Daphnia pulex: one gene and its partners. The protein of the gene in region 1 purifies or fractionates together with the protein of each later gene. This does not show direct contact. Links are inferred from orthologs where the notes say so. Each region holds a gene or a part of one and is shown in the gene's direction. Other genes may lie near its edges.

Region 1 (3,773 bases):
GTATTTTTACTTTACCTATCTAATTCACTTTGCTTTACTTAATCTAGATAAGTAACTAAGCGGGAATAAGCCCGAGCATACCGTAAAAATATAGTTGTTTTTGGTTATAGTATAGTAAAGTATAATGAAGTATGGTTTGATGCTTTATTATACTTTATTATACCCACCCAAAACCCCTGTATTTCCTCGCTACGCTCGGGCTCATTCCCGCTTAGTTACTTTTCTAGATTAAGTAAAGTAAAGTGAATTAGATAAGTAAAGTAAAGTAAGAAGTTGGTCGGGTAAAATAGACTTTTACCCAAGTGTGATCCAAAAAAATGTTCTCCATCCGGTCTATGACAAAACAAAATGGAATAAGGTTGGGCAATAAGTTAATGTAATGGCAGTTATGGCTGGTAAGGAGGGTTTATTTCGCTTACTGAAATCAGAAATTTTTAACTTACAAGTCCATGTTGAATCTGAGCCAGAGATTCAAGCAACAGTTTATTCTATCATGCACCTTTTGCTAATTGGTAGGCCTATACACAATTTTTTTCAAAAAGGTTTAATTTGCAAGTAACAAGTTGTTAACGTGGAGTCGGAACGTGTTCTTTCAATTCTAAAGTGTTGTGATATCGTCTGCTCTAGACCTCTAGTTGCCAGATGGAAAAAAAAATTTGTTGAGATTTGAGAAAAATGAGAATAATAAGTTTTTTTTTCTTTAAAATCCTTATGGTCACGCACCACGAGGAAAAAGTCAGGAAAAAGCCGTAAAACTCGAAAAATTTCAATTCACAATTCTCTATTAAAGAGGTTCGTCTGCTTTAAATAAAGAAAGTCTGGCAACATCTAATTTGCATATTTATTTCAAATTTACTTTTATAAAATATTAAATGTAATATTTTTACAGAGAACACTGTATGAATCTGGCTAACTTAATTTTTAGTTTCTTGACATGAATCCAGTTAACCAGTAGGAGGAAAAATAATTCACATGACCTAGAATAAAGGTCTAGTAAATGAGTAATAACTGGAAGGATATAAATTTGATTTCCCAGTAAAACTCATGTGCTTGAATCACGTAATCAGTAATCGCGAATTAGTCCGGATTCCGGAAATGAAATTTTGTTTTGCTTAAATTTCAAAATTTGATCCGCCTAGCGGCGATATCGAACACCGTCTATGAAAGTATCGATCGTAGCTTTGCCTTTGGCTATCTGACCGTAGTCTGCTTGCTATTCATTGTTGTTTTCAGATTGTTGTTTCTATTTGTCTGTCTAAATCCCTTTACGGCACAATTTTCATTGAGCACTTCCGATTACGTTAACATGGAATGCAGCGTTGACGTATTTGTAGGCAATTCCACTATAATCGACCCTGAAATATGTAGCAACTAAAAACATTATCAAATTGAAAATCCCAACCATATAATTGGATATATTATTTCTAGATCAACTCTGGGTCGACGGCAATTCCTCTCACGAGGCCGCCGACATTTTACAGCAAAGAGGAATACTTCAGCAATGGGGGGCTAATATGGATCTCCTGATGTCAGATGTACTAGACCATTATCGAACATTTCACATGCTGGAAAAGACACTTCACACTCCACTCAAATTAACTGCCGCTGGAGAGTGGACATTTCAAATGGAGGCAGACACTCAGCAATTGCTCATTGAAAAGTATATCTAGATGGTTAGTCAATTCCATTATCAATTTCACTTGCAATTTATTCTCATTTTTAATCATTAGATATTACGAATTGGATGATGTAGTTGTAAGGGAGGTCCTGGGGAAGAAGCTCTCCTCAAGACATCGGAAAGATTTGGATGAGGTGAGCCATTAAAAATGATAAGAGAAGGTTGAAAGCCTGTTCATTGCGGTGTGTGTGGTAAAATGTAATGTGATTTCTAAATGTTTCCTAGGTTTCTGAAAAAACAGCAATATCTCTAAGGTACAACAAGTTAATAGGTCAGTACCTCTGTTATTAAATCATCGTCAATGGATTGATTTCCTCAGGTCTTGCAGGAGGCAATTTGACAATGTCAAGCGTATCCACAAGCTTGTCGAAGAGATGCCAGGTCACATAGTGCACAATATCCAACATAACTTTCTTCTCTCTGCTGAACTGTCGAAGTAAGTTTCCCCGTCTGTCTTTAGACCGTTGTCGTTATTAAAATTGCATGATTCATCGGACGAAATGCCTGTCGTTTTTCTAGGAAATATGCTGCAGTGGTCTTTGTGGCCGTCAACCGTTTCGAAACCAACAAAAGAAAACTTCAGTACTTGAATTTTGGAGATTTCTACCATTGTGCTCATCAGATGATCGTTCACTGGTCCTCGACTGCTTCGTGTCACGCGACTTTAGTTAGGAATCAGTTGGAAACGGAAACGGAAATCGAAACGGATCTCGATGTCGACAGGGGATTCCTGCACGACCTGAGAGAGGTGCGCATACTCCTCGACAAAGAAAAAGAGCACAAGCATCTCGTTTGCTCTCAGCTCAAGGTGATAATCTCCCGTGTTCATTCGGTTTCATGTCAGGACGTGTGAAACTAACCATTCCATCCGCTTAAGGGACGGCTGACGGATAAGATTTACGCCGACATGGAATCCTCTTTCAAGACGCATTCACGTTCACTCGTGTCCTTGGCCGGCAATCTCAATAGATCGAGAGAACTGCGATCCCTCTTTGTGGACTTGGTGGAGCGCTGCGTCGAGCCTCTGAGGCAGGCCAGGTGGACATCAAGGGATTTGAGACTGTTCCTCGACTACTACACACCAGCCGGAGTTCAATTGTTTAAAAGGTAAAGTATCTTGTTACGAATGTTTGGTCAGAATGTCAAATGTAATTTTTTTTCGTTTAACTCATTCTTTCCACTATTTTTGCTGCCCTGATGCACAGCGATTCGGCGACAGCTCTCGTATGGGAGCGCTACATGAAAGTCATTTCCAGCTGCCTAGTCAAAATCTACCACAACTAGTTCGTGTGTCGAATCAGATGCTTTAATACCTTCATTACCTACCGTCTCCTGCGACCCGGAAAATGCCCCTTGTTATTTCCACTCCGTTTTATCGTGTGTCCACACGGGCAATTCTGAAGCAGGTGTTATACGTACGAGAATTATCCGCTTAACTCTGTAAATAAACTTTTGGAAATTGTCAAAACATCCGTATAGATAGATAGAAACTTGTATTGCTTGTAACTGACTAGGTCGGGTATTATATACAAATGTGAAACGATTCGTAAAGCAAAGTGTATGTGTGTGGGAGTACGGAAAGTTTGAAACAAAAAAATCGGGGAACGAGAGTGTTAAATAACCGAGTTGGTGTAATAATGTTAATTAGTTTGATCGATAAGGGGCGAGGTTTTTCTTTTTACTAAACATACCCGTCAAATGTAATTTGTTATTATTATGTTTAACTTTTTTTTTGTGCGGGTTACTCTTTTTTTTTAATATGTAAATTTGCGCTCGTCTATCGTTGTTGCGACATGTCCTCCGCTTCTTGACGAGGCGGGAACAAGTGCTCTGGCGAGATTTAAAAAAACAAACGAAAAAGGGAATCATGTTTTTTCTTTTTGCTTTCGTTTTGGCAAGGGAAATCGTTTTAACGTGTCGATTTGCAAAGGAATTGCGCAGTGTGTCTTTCCACTGGGCATTCGACTTGGTGATCATCAAGTCAAAGACAGAGGAGGAGGAGGACAACGAGTTCGTCGCTGAGGTAAAAAAAAAATTTGTTTTCAACGAAAAGAAGAAAAACTGTTGGTGAAGGATTGCACGGGGCTTATTATCA
Region 2 (4,128 bases), on another chromosome or scaffold:
ACAATCAATATTATCTGACTTCTTCTTTCTACATATTGGATCATCTTTTCAGTTCCTGTTTGGTCTGGTGTTAACGTTGCTGGTGTTCGACTGAGGGATCTCAATCCGGCCGCTGGAACTGATGCAGATACTGAAAATTGGGGTCAAATTCACACACAAGTCGTCCAGAGGTTGCTATTTAACAAAACAATCATATTTAATTGTGTGAGTAATTTTAGTGTTCACTTTTAGTGCATATGAAATTATCCGACTAAAGGGTTACACCTCATGGGCAATTGGTTTGAGTGTTTCTATTCTCACAAAAGCCATTTTGAAAAATTCCCGCAACGTCTTCGCGGTCTCAACTTTTGTCCAGGTACTTAATTTTATTACTATTGTGGTAAGGGTTACGCTATACAGCTATTTCTATAATGATTTATTCAAATAGGGAATCCATGGAGTTGAACAACCCGTTTTTCTGTCCGTCCCATGTGTGGTTGGTGAAAACGGCATTACTGATGTCATCCAACAAACTTTAACTGAAGGTGAACGCAGTCAACTTCAAAAATCAGCTGCCACTTTGAATGAAGTTCAAATAAATTTGGTATTATAAAATATGTACTATAAAAATGTTTAAAATTCGAAATGTCACTAAATCAAATTCGAATTCTGCCCCCCTCACTGAACATAATTAGTATATGTTATGTCCTAGTAAAATACACGATTGTCAAGTCGAATACTGTTTGTAAAACTTTCAAATTACTAAGTTGATCAAATTTACAGCAAAAACTTATAGTCCTATTCATTTTTTTATGATAGCAACAATATATATTTGTGCTTGGAAGTTTTAGCTTAGAAGCGCACGCGAAAAGGAATCTTTTGTCAAGACAAACAAATTTTTGCTAAGTTTTTAAAAGATACTTTAAAAATTTCGCGACTGCAGGATTATTATTCCAAGGGTAAAAAGCCACAAAAGGTTCTTTTAAAATTTAAAATTCGATTTCGTTGGTATTAAGGCACATCCGCACATGTCATACACATGCTTGACAATTTTTTATATTCGAGCAAGTTTAATATTATGTAAAACCTTTATTAGTGCATATCTATTAAAGAATAAGAAAACGAAATTCCACGTAAATTTCACGTGACTGCCTTTACATTATAGTGCATCACAGTAATAAAATCATATGGTCTTTCTATTTGAATTTTAATGATAAGCTTGGCCTTTTCCCGCAGTGTCTTTTTACATTCCGCAGCCCTTTTTCCCACGTTTTCCCTTATTACGCTTCTTCGTTTTATCAATGTTTTCATAGCAAAAGCAGACGACAATTTTCAGTTTTTTTTTTTAGGGTCTGAGGCTCTGAGCAAAGGATGGTTTGATGACTTGATATTGAACATTTAATAAAGTGTTAGCTATTATAGAACGAGAGACTTATGGCTCCACATTGACATTTTTTAAGTTACAATGTCTATTTAGTCAAACAGATTTATTCAACTTATTGTAAAAAGCTATTGGTGAATTTTGTAGCTCAACGTGAATCGGTGAATCCAATAGCAAATCAATAAATCATGCCGGGAAAAGTTAAAGTGAAAATTCTTGCTGGAAGGAACCTTCCTGTAATGGATCGTTCAAGTGACACTACGGACGCTTATGTTGAGATAAAATTAGGTAGCATAACCCAAAAGACAGATGTTTTTCGAAAATCTCTAAATCCTCAATGGAATTCAGAATGGTTTATCTTTGAGGTAAATATTTGATGTTTCAACACATTTTGAATATCAGGCTAAAGAATCATTTTCTTTCTTAGGTTGACGATGCAGAACTTCAAGATGAACCACTTCAAATAAGATTAATGGATTACGATACATACTCTGCAAATGATGCCATAGGAAAAGTATACTTAGATTTAAATCCACTTCTGGTCACACCTGGCATTTCAGGTATCAGAGGTATCAGATCGGAAGCTTGCTCTGTCCCGAGTTCAGGTATGAATTTTGTTATGCTCATGCAGTTTTGTTGATTGATTCAACTATTCTTTTTCAACAGGAGGGCATGTATTATCAGGTTGGCTTCCAGTGTATGATACAATGCATGGAATGAGAGGGGAAGTGTCAGTCATAGTCAAGGTTGAATTATTTTCTGATGTTAACAAGTTTCGGCAAAGTTCATGTGGTGTTCAATTTTTCAGTAGTAAGCAATTTTTCTTTGTAGATTTACAAGGAGTTTTTTTTTAAATTTAACATTCACTTCTCTTTGCAGCTCCGTCAACACCTCACGGTTTTAAAATTCAGTCTATTCAAGGGTTTGTTAAAGAACTTGTTGTTAATGATGACCCAGAATATCAATGGATAGACAAAATTCGGACACCAAGAGCGTCAAATGAAGCCAGACAAACATTGTTCTCTCAACTTTCGGGGGAAGTACGTCGTAAAATCGGATTAAAAGTATTAGAGCTTGGCGGAAATGCTGTAGTTGGGTAAGTTAATGTGTCTTCTATTTCTCCTTGCCAAAATTCCCAGGTATATTCATCGATCGTAATTACTTTACAATCTAGATACCAGCAAATGTTTGATCTTGAAGGAGTAACTGGGCTAGTGGTACGCGGGATAGGGACAGCCGTAACACTAGCTAGGTGCCATTTCGATGGAAACGCAGCAGTTACCTGGTTCAAAGAACAGCACCATGGAAGTAGTGGCCGAGAGTAAGTTACACCTTGGCCCAAATAACCTCACAAATTAATTCCACTTTCACGCTAATCTATAATTTCAATATCTCTTCCATTCAATCGGGTATTCTCCTCTTCATTTTGGTTTGGACAATCGTCAATGATTTGCACACCTATTGCTATGTAACTAACTTTGTGTGATCGCTTTCGTCGATTTGTGGTTTGTCTTCCTCACAATCATCACCGATAGAAATGATAGCACTCGGCCTCGTTTGCATCAGAGCGAACCCCTTCTCCAGTTAGACGATCACGAATGCTTACCTACGAAAACTCCTGTGCCACGCTTTTATAGGCTACAGTCATTACCAATGCATGAAGACACCAACCAATTGCCAATCAAACTTCAGGCTTCCATTTCCGTAGCTAAAGTGCTCGAAGGCTGTGTTGGCATTGTGAAGACCCCCGCGAAACGAAAGCTCTCTCTCAGCAATTTGTTTGCCAAATCTGGGATTAAAGGGAAAGTTGGTAGACCGCGCGAAACTGCGTCGCCAAATACTTTGTCAGTTCCATGTGATGACGATTCCACCAAAAGTAGTCCTCAATCCCGAATTCGCTCACGCTCGCTTATTTGCGAGATGTCACCTATCCTGGAAAATCACGGAGACTCCGTTTCTGATTCACAAGAGAACAGTCCTATTAGCAAAACACTTTTACCTGTCATTAACCATTCACCAGATATCAACGAATTCAAATTCAAGAAAGACTTGCGAGGGTGGACTGACGACGACTTAGCCTTGTCAGGATCCCAGGAATCGTGCTCCTTTTTTCGTGTTAATGCTCCTGAAGACAGCTGCTCAAGCAGCTCTGAAATCTCTCTGAATTATTTCCCTTTAAAACAGGAGCAACAAAACGAACGCTCGATTGAAACACCGTTGTCATTACTACGATTAGTCGATAGCAAAGACGATCTGTCTTCTAACGTAGCGTTGAATGCAACCACTCACCCACCTTTGCCTGAAATGCAACCTATTTGTCCCTACCCAACTAGATCTCCTCGTTGTGCAGCCATTTCGCCAGTCGATGTCGTTAAACCATTACATAGTACTGCTGCCATCACCACTCCAGTGGTCGTACATGGAATGACTCCTTCACGACCTTCTCCCTGTCGACGCTCTTCAGAATCTGAAATCAACACAACTCCAAAAGGTTTAGAGATAATCATTTGAATTTCATCCGTAAAAATTCTTGAATTCAATTAAACTCCTTCGCAGCTTCCAGTTTATCCGATAGCTTCGGTTCATCAGGGGGAGGCGTAATTGCATCCAACTGTCGTCCGACGACTCACCGTCAGACATCAGTTCCTGCTCCACCTACTAGCGCATATCTCAATACTGATGTTACTAGGAACCTTGAAGTCCTCGAATATCCTTTCTTGACAATGAAGACCTACCCCCCTGGATTCATCGTACATATTGGTAATTTT
Region 3 (3,956 bases), on another chromosome or scaffold:
ACGATGAAACTAAAATTGTGTACCTCAGCTGATAAAACGTGAATTTCGGGCGAAACACCAACAGTGACGTAGTTGTCCAATACAGAAATTATTGACGGAAGAAACTTTGCCATTTTGATTTTCATAGAATGGAAAATTAATATTAAAATATTTAGATTGCAGGACGTGGCAGATGGTGAATCTTGAATTATCATGGATTTTAACACATCGCTGGCGAGTGAATCGTATTGGTCATCCTAAAAAATTGGTTATAAATCTTTTGCCACTTTAAATAACTCGAGAAAATAGCTAACTTGATTCCACTGAGACGGATCATCTGGATCCAAGTTCTGAGCTTTGAGGCAGATGTCGAGGCACTTGTACAAATTTAACTTGTCATCGAATTCAACGTTTTTCTTTAAAGCACTAAATATGACTGCAAACCATCCTCGTTGGAGCAGAGATTTTGGGTTGAGCTGTGCAAATGACAAGGGCATTATTAGCAACACTAGCCGAAATTGGAAGACATTTCTTTTATCCATACACTTAATATATGATGAAGACACTCTAGGCCTTTCTTCTGGTAATCTGGTTCCCAATCATCGAATAACACTAAAGAAACAGGCACAGCAAAATCTACCGATTCATCAATAGAAGGCAGCTAAAAAAATGAATTGTGAAAGTTTAAGGTTTAATAACTTTCATTTGAATTTTTGATACCATAGTATTGCTGATAATCCAAACAAAACAACTGACTGCTGCAGGGTTTTCTTTGATTTGGTTTTTCCCTAGCTTCGGTTTAAGCTGTTGAAGAGTGGAATAAGCAACACCGTCCATGGCAAATATATCCTGAATATTTTGGAGGTGAAGCTTGGAGAGCAAAAGGTTAAGGAGATCTTTCACATTATCAACTGATTTCTGAGTACTCCATTCAGAACAAATACTGTGCTCACCGCACAGGATGAGTAATGACAATAAAGCTAGATTGTTTTTGGTCCACTCTTCTTTTGTTACGGAGGTACCATTCAGAACTAGCTTTTGTAATTCACATACGGCGTCATCGACTTTACTTGACCATTCACGTTGAAATCCTTTTTCGAAGTGGCTTCGTTCGTTGATAACTTTGACGGGGGGAAGGAGAACTTTCCTAGCTATTTCAGCTACTTCACCCATCGCACACATTGATTTTGCAAAATGTAAAATTTAAAATCCTTGAAGAAGAAAAAACGGCTTAAGGATGCCAATCGTCCAACACAGTTCATAAACATTAGATTTAGAAGAATTTTAATTGAACTTTTGTAACTTTTTTATTTAATTAGTGCAAAAGTAACGAAACTGAGAACAAATTTGAACTGACCACTTGAAAAGAAAAAGTGACAACATGAGCAGACGTAATATTGCAGACGAAAATCTTTCGCCATCTAGCGTTGGAAATTGCAAGTCTCAATAGAAACTGTCAAGATTGATCCTGCCGGCGTCTGCCATAACAATAAAAAAACAAAAACAAAAACGCTTTGTGAGTGCGACTGCGAGAGTGTTTTAATTTTGTTTTAAGTTGATTAAGAGTTTCCCGAGAATCAACGGGATTTATTGTTCTATAATGCAGAAGTATGAAAAATTAGAAAAAATTGGCGAAGGTAATTTTCCCGTACATGTTTGTTTTCCAACCGACACTGAGGATTAAAAGCATACAGACGTTTCACATGTGTGTAGTGAAATTAGCAAGGAATTAATCTCCATCACTTTCTTACATTTCAATAGGAACATATGGTACTGTGTTTAAGGCCAAAAATAGAGAAAATCAGGAAATTGTGGCTCTGAAACGTGTCAGGCTTGTAAGTATATAACACATTTCTTTATATATGATTATTTTAAACTAACCATTTTTATTTGAAAAATTCAATAATAGGATGATGATGATGAGGTATGTCACTTTATATTATTGATCAATCACACCAAGCACTTTTCATTTTATTTCATTTTTCTGGCATAGGGGGTTCCATCAAGTGCCTTAAGAGAAATATGCTTATTGAAAGAACTTAAGCACCGTAATATAGTGAGAGTTTTTCTTTCATTAGCACAATTCTGTACACTTTCTATACTAAGCACATTTCTAAATAACCAACAGGTTCGATTACATGATGTCCTCCACAGTGATACAAAGTTAACCCTAGTATTTGAGCACTGTGACCAGGATTTGAAGAAATACTTTGATAGCTTGAATGGGGAGATAGACAGTGAGCAAGTCCAATCACTGATGTAAGACATCCATTTTGTGCACAAAAAATTTGCTGTTAATTAATTTTCTCCTTTGTCTGAAGGTATCAACTTTTAAGAGGTCTTGCATTCTGCCACAGTAAAAATGTTTTGCACAGAGATCTCAAACCTCAAAACTTGTTGATTAATAAGGTAATGTTTAAGTTTTGGGGCATTTTTAGCTTACCCAGATGATATTAACCCTTTTTTTTAGGATGAGTATTTAAAAATTTGCGTTCACTTACAATCAATTTATTTTTAGAACGGTGAGCTGAAGCTTGCAGATTTCGGCTTAGCAAGAGCATTTGGTATTCCTGTCCGTTGTTATTCGGCTGAGGTTGTTACACTGGTAATATACATAATAATTTGAATTCTAAAAATTACAAACATATCTAACAATTTGTAAAAATCAGTGGTATAGACCTCCCGATGTTTTATTTGGTGCCAAGCTGTATACTACTTCCATTGATATGTGGTCTGCGGGCTGCATATTTGCTGGTAACGTTTGCTGTCCTATTCAATTTCGTGATCAGTATTACATCTCTCATTCTTTTTAGAACTTGCCAACGCGGGGCGACCCCTTTTTCCTGGAAGCGATATTGATGACCAACTCAAACGGATATTCAAGTTACTTGGTACGGAATTCTAAAGTGGTTTACGGAGGGCAATTATTTAATAATTAAATTAATCGATAGGAACTCCAAACGAAGAAGTTTGGCCTGGTATATCTCAACTGCCAGACTACAAGCCATTACCCATCTATCAACCAACAAGTAGCTTCGCGCAAGTTGTTCCAAAAATGAGTCCCAAAGGCAGAGATTTACTTCAGGTATTGACTATAATTTTGATATTTCTCAACTTTTTTCTGACTTCCCTTTTGAATTCCATAGAAATTATTACTGTGCAATCCTGCTCTTCGGATTTCTGCAGATGACGCGATGGCGCATTACTATTTTACCGATTTACCTTCAAGTATAAAACATCTATAAGTTATTTTGATTTTTAATTGTAAGACTTAAATTTTGTATCCCCAAACAAAATGATTCTAGAATATTTTTTATATCGAGCAAATTCCTTTTTTATCGATTCTTTTTTTCTTTACCGTGAACACATTGTACTTGCGCGTACATTTTAGAGGATTGTGGTTAGTCAAATTGAATTGCAGTCCAATACAATACATAATTCGAATGGTAAACTAATATTCACATGCGGATGTTGGAGAAATCCTCTTGGTGAAGTTACTCCGTCTTCTGCCTTTTTTTGGCACGAATGTCGGCCAATGTTTGCTCGATGGAGCGTTGATCTTTTTTGTTCTCGGATGAAACAAAACCGTATTTTCGATTTACCTGAGTAACTTTAACAGCATCTTTTACTGCTTCTTTACCTAGTAGATGTCAAAATTTAGTACGTAGGGCGTTTTGTTGTGCTTAATTTAAATTACCGATTAACCGATCGTATTTGTTAACATATTGAGCTGACGATACTGTACTGTCACTTTTTGAAGCTGGTTGCTCGTCCTCCTCATCTTCAGGTTCGGGATTCTACAAAAGATCAATTCCTTATTAGTTCACTCAGAATAATAATAGCTTTGAAATATACCTGTTTGACTGAATCTGGATTCCATGGTATACCCTTTCTGTAAGCATTTAATTCATCTGGGCCTGGAGTAAATTCTTTTTTATAGACAACCACATGTCTGTCAACATCTTCTTCCCCAAATG

Evidence for each region.
Region 2: the proteins of acidic fibroblast growth factor intracellular-binding protein B-like (region 1) and C2 domain-containing protein 5-like purify together in Homo sapiens (affinity purification with mass spectrometry; 3 studies listed by BioGRID and IntAct, counting the BioPlex papers as one, with this or other methods). This does not show direct contact. The link is inferred for Daphnia pulex from reciprocal best matches to the Homo sapiens genes FIBP and C2CD5.
Region 3: the proteins of acidic fibroblast growth factor intracellular-binding protein B-like (region 1) and cyclin-dependent-like kinase 5 purify together in Homo sapiens (affinity purification with mass spectrometry; 7 studies listed by BioGRID and IntAct, counting the BioPlex papers as one, with this or other methods). This does not show direct contact. The link is inferred for Daphnia pulex from reciprocal best matches to the Homo sapiens genes FIBP and CDK5.

The regions. Positions count from the first base shown.
Region 1 is NC_060018.1:28,063-31,835, forward strand, and holds acidic fibroblast growth factor intracellular-binding protein B-like, read left to right. Parts: upstream 1-1,187; 5' UTR 1,188-1,306; coding exon 1,307-1,364; intron 1,365-1,428; coding exon 1,429-1,660; intron 1,661-1,730; coding exon 1,731-1,812; intron 1,813-1,903; coding exon 1,904-1,932; intron 1,933-1,997; coding exon 1,998-2,114; intron 2,115-2,197; coding exon 2,198-2,486; intron 2,487-2,555; coding exon 2,556-2,785; intron 2,786-2,883; coding exon 2,884-2,962; 3' UTR 2,963-3,146; downstream 3,147-3,773. UniProt on the Homo sapiens protein: May be involved in mitogenic function of FGF1. May mediate with IER2 FGF-signaling in the establishment of laterality in the embryo.
Region 2 is NC_060019.1:9,641,113-9,645,240, forward strand, and holds the start of C2 domain-containing protein 5-like, read left to right. Parts: upstream 1-1,279; 5' UTR 1,280-1,548; coding exon 1,549-1,725; intron 1,726-1,787; coding exon 1,788-1,965; intron 1,966-2,026; coding exon 2,027-2,170; intron 2,171-2,239; coding exon 2,240-2,456; intron 2,457-2,534; coding exon 2,535-2,681; intron 2,682-2,895; coding exon 2,896-3,851; intron 3,852-3,916; coding exon 3,917-4,120; intron 4,121-4,128. Other genes in the region: L-lactate dehydrogenase-like, read left to right, coding at 53-170, 232-355, 428-592. UniProt on the Homo sapiens protein: Required for insulin-stimulated glucose transport and glucose transporter SLC2A4/GLUT4 translocation from intracellular glucose storage vesicle (GSV) to the plasma membrane (PM) in adipocytes.
Region 3 is NC_060026.1:15,917,817-15,921,772, forward strand, and holds cyclin-dependent-like kinase 5, read left to right. Parts: upstream 1-1,436; 5' UTR 1,437-1,579; coding exon 1,580-1,616; intron 1,617-1,740; coding exon 1,741-1,814; intron 1,815-1,888; coding exon 1,889-1,903; intron 1,904-1,972; coding exon 1,973-2,035; intron 2,036-2,107; coding exon 2,108-2,238; intron 2,239-2,300; coding exon 2,301-2,388; intron 2,389-2,497; coding exon 2,498-2,584; intron 2,585-2,648; coding exon 2,649-2,733; intron 2,734-2,792; coding exon 2,793-2,870; intron 2,871-2,930; coding exon 2,931-3,064; intron 3,065-3,125; coding exon 3,126-3,224; 3' UTR 3,225-3,430; downstream 3,431-3,956. Other genes in the region: sperm-associated antigen 7 homolog, read right to left, coding at 3,474-3,619, 3,677-3,776, 3,835-3,956. UniProt on the Homo sapiens protein: Proline-directed serine/threonine-protein kinase essential for neuronal cell cycle arrest and differentiation and may be involved in apoptotic cell death in neuronal diseases by triggering abortive cell cycle re-entry. Interacts with D1 and D3-type G1 cyclins.